2 linked regions of the Bombyx mori genome follow. The protein of the gene in region 1 purifies or fractionates together with the protein of each later gene. This does not show direct contact. Links are inferred from orthologs where the notes say so. Each region holds a gene or a part of one and is shown on either strand. Other genes may lie near its edges.

Region 1 (5,263 bases):
TCTTCTTCTATCTTCTATCTTCTATATATGTATATAAAAATGAATTGCTGTTCGTAAGTCTCGCTAAAACTCGAGAACGGCTGGACGAATTTGGCTAATTTTGGTCTTGAATCATTTGTGGAAGTCCAGAGAAGGTTTAAAAGGTAGATAAATATGCAAATGCTCGGAATGAAATAAATAAATAATAATAATAACGGTTTTTGCGGCGCACGCAAAAATAGCTCGCAAATATATATTTTTTCCTTCTTGACACTTATCGTTATATTTTGGATAATTCAAACTCTATTATTATAAATTATAGCTACAGAATCCACATCCTAAAAAAAGTTTCAAGCTTTTAGCTCTAAAAAGGACGATACTTTTTTTAATTCTTAGATGGGTTGACGAGCTCACGGCCCACCTGATGTTAAGTAGTTACCGGAGCTCATAGACAACTACAACGTAAATGCCGCCGCCTACTTTGAGACATGAGTTTTAAGGTCTCAGTATAGTTACAACGGCTGCCCCACCCTTCAAACCGAAACGCATTACTGCTTCACGGCAGAATTAGGCAGTGTGGTGGTACCTACCACCAGTCATTACGCTAATTATAATTTTGCGGGTTTGATTTTTATTACACGATGTTATTCCTTCATTGTGGAAGTAAATAACGAACATTTGTTAAGCATGTATTACTATAAAAAAATTGGTACCCGCCTGCGGGATTCGACCACGTCTTATCCTTAGGTCACGGTGACTTCATACAACTTTTCATTTCCCTCTTTCAGTCCTTTAGAACCCTTTTTTCGCAATAAAAAGTAGCCTATTATGGTAAAACAGTGTAAAACGAAAACTTATTTGTGCTTGATCTGTAGAATTTTTTATTGCAATTTTTAAACCAAATACGTTTTATCCCAAAAATCAAAATGAAATTTTTAATCCCGACAGTAAATTGGCGGACCACCATCCAAGAAGCCACCGGTAACGAACACACTCATAAGTTCATAACCCGAATTTTTTCTTACATGTGCAGTGTCATGCGATTCTTTATGAGTACTAACATACATAAATTTAATTTAAAACAAACAAAACAAAAACGATTGTAAACATAGTTTTCTAGAAAAAAGTCCTGCCAATTAAACGGTATTATTAGAAAACCACAAATATGAAATATTTTCATAGAAATACAAATTAATTTCTTTTATTTTTCTAATAAGTAGGCATTTAATAGCCAATCTAATATTAATAAAAATAAATGCGGGTAAACATAAAAAAATATTGTGAGACGACCGTAATTTATTATTTATGAACATAAATAATGTTCATTGTTCGCTAACAGCAAAATGATCACTAGTCGCTATTCGATAAATTATAATGTGATTTGACAGTTGGATGATGGAGCTGTGACGGTGTGATCGTGCGTGTGGTCGTGTGTATTTAATAAGTGTTCTGCACTCGTGTTTTTTCAATATCAACCCGTAATCGATGATTATAGATAAATCGTTAATGCGAAATTTTTTAGGACTGTACAGAGCTTTTCGCATTTAACATTCGTAGATGTCGATTATACAACATGTTGTTCGTCCTTATTGATAATTAATAATTTAAATACAATTTTATATTGCTTCGACAGAACAGTTTTTACGTGGTAGTGTTATTACACTCAATATTCATTCAAATTTCGAACTATTATTTTCATTATAATGTAAACAACCATTACAGTTTCACGTGTCCTCTTGTATGTTTACCAAGTAATGTGAGTTCGTTCGGACCACTAGGAAGCCGTAGCGAGCCGTTTTGATTTTCTACGATACGGTAGTGAGTTCGTGATCGCCCATACTAATGCAAGAGGGGGGCCAGTTGTACAGGAAACACATCCCGGAAGAATCAACATACCGTTCTCCGCAGATTATTTACGAGCTAAGATGAGAGTATAGTCTCTGCCACCCCGATAAGAATACCACGTTAAGGATGTTTTAAAATAAGTTCTCAGAGCGGTTCCTTTATGTTTGTTCTGCACGAGTTGTCAATAGGTAGCGTACGTCAGTTTCCTTTCCGCCCTCGTCACGTCCTGTCTGTAACTAAATAGAATGCGCATTAAATCATGCGATTCAGGTTCGGTTCGGTTAATGTAAACGTCTTTTTATCGGAGTCACGAAAAAAGTGCCGAAGCAGTGAATTTAACGAATGGAAATGTGCAATACGAAGATTTAAAAATTTGTCATGAAGATGGAAACCGCATTTTTCCGAAGATTGCTTAAATATATAAGGGTACTGGTTATTCTTATTACCCCGTTTATTAATTCTTGATAGATTTTTTAATTAAATAAATTAAATATTTTATTTTTGAAATAAAAGAAAATTCATTCAATTAATTGCGTCGAGCATCTGTTTCAGAGCAGCGTTTCTAATAAATAATCTAATGACATCTATAATCTATAATATGTGAAGAAAAAACTTTGTACCCATTTTTACAAAAATTGCGTGGACGGATGAGTATACCCGTAGTTATAGTTTATATATAGAGAAGGAGTGCAGAATGTGAATATTTTTTTAAAATTATGCATAAGAAATACATTAAATAAATAAATAAATAAAACATGACACACACTTACCATGTATTTGACACAACACATACATATAAATATACTATTTGTTTATTGTCAATTGTCAAAACTTTTGTTATTGCATAAAGTCTGGTCAAATTGAGAATAGATTAATATTGTTTGTCTTTAATATTATTTATCTATAGTGTAGTTTTGGCGAAACCTGTGATTATATTGTAGAAGTATAATAGTGTTTGACAATAGAACGATAATAATGTTTAAACATAAAATTTCAATTGATTATAGTCGAATTTCGACTACTGCGGGAATTTCGACCACTAATATAAGAAATAACATAATGACATTTCAAACAAAAAAACGAGATTATACCGTGAAAGTAGTTTTAATTAAATATGAAATTAACACGTAATTTGTAATTGTTGAAATGAGATACAAAATATAAAACTTTTCAGGCGACAAAAACATTTCTGAACGAGCTCAGCGAGACTGGTGCGGGGTGTGTATCACGAGCGACGGCGATCAAGTTCTTGTTGGCGCGCAAGTTCGATGTTGGGAGGGCCCACGCGCTCTGGAGGCAGCATGAGGCCACGCGTCGAAGGGAGGGACTCAACAAGTTTGAACCGTTCGAGGATCCACTTAAGTCAGAACTCGAAACCGGCAAATTTACTATACTGGTGAGTGTTCTGAGAAAGCTTTTTTTATATGCATATAGAATGGCGACGACAAAGTGAAGCAGCAAGGTTTGCCGAGAGTTATAGTTGGAAGACCATGTAAATGCAAAAAAATAATCCTTTGTTGATATTTTCTAGGCAGTAAAGAACTAGGTATTTCGTTTTTACATACCGAAACTTAAATACTTAAATAATAAGCATAGGGCCTACCTGATTATGAGTGGTTACCATCGCTCATGGATAATGCACAGATTCGTACCAATTGGCACCTGTATTGACAGACGTGTACTGTGAGGAACTGGACACAATGATGGAGAACCTCGTGAATCTCCGGTCAAAGCCATGTTAATCTCATCCCTGTTGGTTCTTACACGACAATGCTTAACCTTATACGGCACAACAGACAATCCCCAAACTGCAAGAGCTTGAGTTGGAATTTTTTTATCATTTACTGTACTCACCAAACCTTGCGCCGACAGACTTCTATTATTTTTTTAAAGTTTGGACAACTTTATTGCAAGGAAAAAAGCAATACTCGAGAGGCAGTACAAAATGCCATTGAGGAGTTTTTTGCTCCCGTACACCTGACTTCTTCAAGAATTCCAATGGAAAAATACTCTACTGCGCTGGCAGAGATGTATCGATACCACGGGTGCATATTTTAATAGAAAGATATGAAAAAAATACTAACTTTCTTTATACTAAACGGTAATTTCTTAGGTTAAGATCTATAAATATAATAATAAACACATGTAAATGTAAGTTTGCAATTCAATCATTAATAAAGCTTTATCATTTATTTAATGAAAAATTGTTTAATTCATAGCCAACCAGAGATGCGACCGGTGCTGCCATTGCCGTGTTCACAGCGAACAAACACTTCCCCTCACAGACTACGCATCAAACAACACTACAGGTTTGTATTCGAGCATTTCTTGCAAGTCCTAAAACCAAATCATCTAGACTATAAAATGCCAACGCATCTTGCCAACGGTTTCTTCGGATATACATGTAAAAAATTGGCGCGTAAGTGAACTGTGTGCTTAGTGCGAGTTTTTTAACGTTCTCGTTAGCGTAAAAGTTAGCTCATATTTGTATGGAATGGGATCGTTTGCCTACGTTTTCCGCTAGGGGTTCCTACTGCATACAAAATTGGGCTAACTTTTACGCAATCGAGAACGTTAAAAAACTCGCACTAAGCACACTGAAGCCGAGCGCGATTCGAGTAGTCGGCCCCCATCGAGCGTTCATGTAGTGTTTCCCGTTGGCGCGCTGGAAAATGTAAAGGACAATGCCCATTTTCTTTGGGCGATTGGGCCTCTAAAAAAATTTGTCGTGCCATGATGGTTTTAACCTAATTTTATAGACAAGAAATATCGTTTCATATTCAGAAAACGATTTTTATATTCTCACTCAGGTTTAAGAGAAATCTGTTTTTTTCTGCACCTAAAATTAAGGTTATGTACCTATATATACTTATATAATAGGTATTTAATTGTTTTCTTCGAAATCAATAATCGCTCTCATAATTAGTTCTGTAACTAATTATAAATAAGCTAATTGTGGTTAATGTTGCTAGAAATAAGCCCTTATGTACATTTTATTATTATTATATCATCATAATAATAATAAAATGAAGGTAGTTTCTGAGAACAGACTTCATTTTCCCTTCTTTTGGAAATTAAAATCTGGAAGCCGGCAACGATATGTTGTTGTTTTTATATTCGCCAATAACAGGCAGAGTTTAGCCTATGCAGCCTAGTCTGTCGTAGTTATATTATTTTCATGTCAATAAAAAGCCGGTATATCTCTTTTTATTGCTTTTGGGAGTTTTGACGTCAACTCGATGAATAATAGCACATTGACTGAGCGTGAGTTTCCGCAGACCTTTGATCTTGAAAAAAAAAACAGTCACTGCTATTTTAGCCACAGTTTTATTCCAATGCCTCAATAATCGTAAACAACGATAATACACAGAACAATACCCAATTTATATATTACCTATACATCACAATAAACTATTAAAATAAAACTTCAAGTGACGCT
Region 2 (5,163 bases), on another chromosome or scaffold:
ATGACTAAGAGGGTTCGATATCGAATTATTTTCGCACCTCTGAACCCTATCGAACAATGACGTCACTGTATAACATTTAAACGATAAAAACCTATTTACTTCTGAACAGATTTTAATTTTGTTTACGACGACCGTCTCTGTATTTACGTTGGATTTTTCCATAATCAAGTAAATCGATATATAGAATTTTCAGCTGTACACTTGATACTTACAACCCCAAAATGGTGCACGATCATTTTAAGTGCGTATTCTTTGATGTCGGCCGCCTTCATCCTGTCCGCGACCTGCAGTATGGCGAGCACGTTCTCAGGGGACACGTTGCTCTGTAGATTGTGCTTGCAGAACACTTGGAGACGATTGTTTGTGAATCCTGTGCAATTAATACAATATAGATAATAAATATTAAAATAAACAAATATTGTAGGACTAGCGGCCGCTCCGGCTCCGCTCGGGTCTTTAACAAAAATTACAACGATATATTTTAACGTTGTTTTATTTTTTAAATAAAAGAACACTTATTGCGGCATAACTATAATAGTTAGTATATATGCTGTCGCGATACTTTTTGTAAATAATATAGTAATATGTTCTACCAAGGCGTAGTACTCGTTTTTATTCTGTCATCAATAGTTTTCGCAGGGCACGCGATGTAAAGAATATTTTAGGTAAATTTTTTTATACCTTGGGTTACATATTGGAGTTTTAGCAAAGATCCCAAATTTTTTTCAAAAAAGATTATAGCCTATGTCACTCGGGAATAGGTAGCTTTCAAACAGTAAAATAATTTTTCAAATCGGTTCAGTAGTTTCGGAGCCTATTCAATACAAACAAACAAACAAATCCTTCCTCTTTATAATATTAGTATAGATTGGTAAGAACGGAACGTATAAAAAGAGTGTGGAATGGAACGTTAAGACACGAGTGAGAGAAAACACTAAGAAAGGGAAAAGAGAGTGACAGAGAAAAGCAAGATGGCGAAGACGATTGAATGAGCAAAACCTAAAAAAGTGTCAGTTAATTTTTTTATTATAATAAAATCTGACATCTGAGACCTGGGATCTTCGTGACCTAAAGGATAAGACGTCCCGTGCATTCGTATATAACGATGCATCGGTGTTCGAATCCCGCAGGCGGGTACCAATTTTTGTAATGAAATACGTACTTAACAATTGTTCACGATTGACTCCCACGGTGAAGGAATAACATCATGTAATAAAAATCAAACCCGCAAAATTATAATTTGCGTAATCACTGGTGGTAGGACCTCTTGTGAGTCCGGACGGGTAGGTACCACCGCCCTGCCTATTTCTATTCTATTTTCTTTCGGTTTGAAGGGTGGGGCAGCCGTTGTTACTATACTGAGACCTTAGAACTTTTATCTCAAGGTGTGTGGCGCATTTACGTTGTAGATGTCTATGGGTTCCAGTAACCACTTAACACCAGGTGGGCTGTGAGCTCGTCCACACATCTAGGCAATAAAAAAAAAACATTTTTGCATTTTTTTTGAAGATTTTGGAAGTGGACCGTAGTAGTGCTATGATGACATAGTTTTATTTTATTCGCCACGATCCTTTTTCTAAATTTATAAACACTCATCATTCTCCTGCCCTTCTCCCAGTCACCTGGGGTCGGCGCAACAAGTCTTCTCCTTCCGTACTCCTCTATCATATACCATTTCTTCGCTCACTTCCATCTTACACATATCGTCTTTCACGCAATCCTTCCATTTATTCATAGATCTACTTCTTCCTCTAAAGCCTTCTAAATTTATAAACTATGTTATTTACCAATAGAGCATATACACAATGTTAAATATAAATAAATACAGAAAATTTTATACTAATTAGTTTATTAATTATTTATAAATTTAATAGTTATATAATATTAAATATTTATATTTATAATTAAGAAAGTATGTTTTGCTTGTTTTCTCTTTGCCTCACTATTCAATATCTTTTTTTTTTTATTGCTTAGATGGGTGGACGAGCACACAGCCTGCCTGGTGTTAAGTGGTAACTGGAGCCCATAGACACCAATAACGTAAATGTGCTACCCATCTTGAGATATAAGTTCTAAGGTCTCAGTATAGTTACAACGGCTGCCCCACCCTTCAAACCGAAACACATTACTGCTTCACGGTAGACACAAGAGGTCCTAACACCGGTAAGATTATCTATATTATGATGATATGTATATATTGAAATCTATGTATGTATTACAATTTCTAGTTTCCATAGTACCGGATACTCTAGTTTGGGGACAGGTGAGCGGGTGTAATCTTTCAACAATTATTTACCTTATTTAAGTGTAGGCTACTTACTAACCGTAATAAATGGGAGCTTGGAAGAGATATAGAGAGTCTTCTGTGGGCATGTTCGTGTCGCCGTAGTAGATGTAGCGCAGGAGAGAGTCGAACGCTGCCTCCGACGGAATTGTGTCGCATATCTGTATCTGTATTATGAAAATACAATTTAATTTTTTAATGATTATAATGTATGAATATCGGTTGATGGCAGTTCAACTATTAGAAATCATATTTCTATGGCACGTTTCTCTGTACACAGTATATTTTGCGTGTGTGTGTTTGAATGATTACAAAGGCATCATAGTCTTAATTATCTGCACAGATCTTCCTTCCAATAATAGCTCGCTGCTCTGGTCAACTTTTTATGATAGCCTTTATTTGTGACGTCATTAATAGCATGTAAACGCGGCGTTGTCACAGACTATCACACTGCCAGTGGAAGCTAATTAAAAAAAACCCTGAGCATTTATTACTGGTGGTAGGATCTCTTGGGAGTCCGCACGGATAGGTACCATTACTCCGCCTATTTCTGCCGTGAAGCAGTGATGCGTTTCGGTTTGAAGGGTGGGGTAGCCGTTGTAACTATACTGAGAGCTTAGCACTGATATCTGAAGGTGGGTGGCGCATTTACCTTTTAGATGGTTGATCCCCTTGCCTTTCTTAATAAGGAAAAATTGTACCAAAAAAAAAGTCTATGGTCTCCAGTAACCACTTAACACCAGGTGGGCTATGAGCTCGTCCACCCATCTAAACAATAAAAAAAAATAGAATAGGTAGGAAAAAAAATCTTGTTAACAGACTATCACATAGCCAGTGGAAGCTATTTTGAAAAACATCTGAGCACACTCATCTAAGTAAGCGTGGATCGAACATGTTCAAGCAGTTTTAGCTGTAGAATAGTGTTGTGCTCGAACGTTATTAGAACTTCTTATTAGATCTGGGTCTGCGGAGGGACTTCGGTTCCCTCTGTATTCTGTACCGTATGTTCCATGGGGAGTGCTCTGAGGAATTGTTCGAGATGATACCAACATCTCGTTTTTACCATCGCACCGCTCGCCACCGGAGTAGAGTTCATCCATACTACCTGGAGCCACTGCGGTCATCCACAGTGCGTTTCCAGAGATCTTTTTTGTCACGTACCATCCGGCTATGGAATGAGCTCCCCTCCACGGTGTTTCCCGAGCGCTATGACATGTCCTTCTTCAAACGAGGCTTGTGGAGAGTATTAAGCGGTAGGCAGCGGCTTGGCTCTACCCCTGGCATTGCTGAAGTCCATGGGCGACGGTAACCACTCACCATCAGGTGGGCCGTATGCCCGTCTGCCAACAAAGGCAATAAAAAAAAAAAAAAACTTGTAAGCAATTACATTGACGATGTTGTCTCGCGGCGAGAAGGAGCGGAACATGGCCTCGAAGTAGGCGGCGCGCGCGGCCAGGATGGAGCGGTGCGCGGGCCGCTCGTGCGACGCCGCGCGCAGCCGCACGTCGCTCAGCGCCGCGCCGCCCGCGCCCGCCAGCCCGCACATGTCCTGCTCCAGCGTCGTGCCTGCCGCACAACGCACACTCACTCGACACAAGGACTAAGGTTAACCAGGCGACAGCGGAACGCATCGTCGGTATTTCGATCAATTCATGACTGGGAAGCTCTACTGTAGTACTTCAATAATGTTACGCGTTGGGGTTCGGGATAAATAAAATTCTATCGAAGTATAAATTACTACTGTATTAGAACACTTTAAAACTCGTAGTTCACTTCTTTCGCTTCGCTTCGGGTGATCTGTTCGCTGTTTCGCTTCGAGTAGTTCCGATTACTGACTGACTGCGTGCCATCTCTGCAACGCTTTTATAATAAGATAAGAAGAGTCGTCGTGCTTCCTTGTATGGGGACACGGAACGGGTTTCAGGGCAAACCTCCCTGCCCGGGCAGAAGCTCCCTGCCACTCAGGGCAAGAGCGAAGTAATGCAGAAGGGTAGTTGGGGAGGGTTCAGTATGCGTGCTCGGTCGCAGTCTAACGCTTTTATAGTCAATACGACATCTCTAGAATCGTCGAGAAAATTCCTCACAAGTCGAGCACTTTCGATGCGTGCTTCCGATATCTGACAATAGATGGCGTTGTACTTCTCGAGCGTTCTAGATGTTAGCAGATCTTTTAATGTTCGTTACGGCTATTCGGTGACAGATGGCGTTACTCTTATTGGTGTAACAATAATAAAAAAATGCCTAAGAAGAATTAATTCATCTCAGAAGATTAATTCACAGGTTCGATAGGGCTCAGCTGTTATCTAGCGACGGTCACGCTCCGAATCACCGCGAGGGACGTCATGGGGCTCCAGTCGCGTACTCGCGTTAGTAAGATTTATTATTATAGCCCCAAAAATGTATCAAAATTGTAATCTTTTTTTTTCTTTTTTTTTATTGCCTTTGTAGGCAGACGAGCGTACGGCCCATCTGATGGTGTGTGGTTACCGTCGCCCATGGACTTTAGCAATGCCCGGGGCAGAGCCAAGCCGCTGCCTATATTGTATTCGAGTGACGTCACGTCAAGTACAACTATTACTAAGAAGCGCTAAAATTTGTTTTCGTTATATACCCGTGATCTCATCGTCAGAGTCGTGCGGGGCTGCCTGTTTGGACGACGGCTGCTGCCGCCTCCTGATCACCTCCACCATCAAGCTCTGCTCCAGCTGTTCGAATTCAGGCGACATCACGATGGGCGTGAAGTTGTAGTCTTTCACTACGAACCTGCAATTATTGTAAAATGTAAAACCTCGTTAAATAATTAAAGAAGGTTTATTCAATCTGTATTCGTCTACTGTGTATCCGAATGACACATCGTCTTCGCGCATTAAAACTGTAGA

The links. The genes of interacting proteins can lie anywhere in the genome.
Region 2: the proteins of tyrosine-protein phosphatase non-receptor type 9 (region 1) and leucine-zipper-like transcriptional regulator 1 purify together in Homo sapiens (affinity purification with mass spectrometry; 3 studies listed by BioGRID and IntAct, with this or other methods). This does not show direct contact. The link is inferred for Bombyx mori from reciprocal best matches to the Homo sapiens genes PTPN9 and LZTR1.

What each region holds. Positions count from the first base shown.
Region 1 is NC_085127.1:4,651,150-4,656,412, forward strand, and holds the start of tyrosine-protein phosphatase non-receptor type 9, read left to right. Parts: upstream 1-1,885; 5' UTR 1,886-2,202; coding exon 2,203-2,250; intron 2,251-2,998; coding exon 2,999-3,220; intron 3,221-4,043; coding exon 4,044-4,133; intron 4,134-5,132; exon of another isoform or gene 5,133-5,263. UniProt on the Homo sapiens protein: Protein-tyrosine phosphatase that could participate in the transfer of hydrophobic ligands or in functions of the Golgi apparatus.
Region 2 is NC_085122.1:8,827,417-8,832,579, forward strand, and holds part of leucine-zipper-like transcriptional regulator 1, read right to left. Parts: intron 5,048-5,163; coding exon 4,896-5,047; intron 3,851-4,895; coding exon 3,672-3,850; intron 2,452-3,671; coding exon 2,325-2,451; intron 371-2,324; coding exon 213-370; intron 1-212. UniProt on the Homo sapiens protein: Substrate-specific adapter of a BCR (BTB-CUL3-RBX1) E3 ubiquitin-protein ligase complex that mediates ubiquitination of Ras (K-Ras/KRAS, N-Ras/NRAS and H-Ras/HRAS).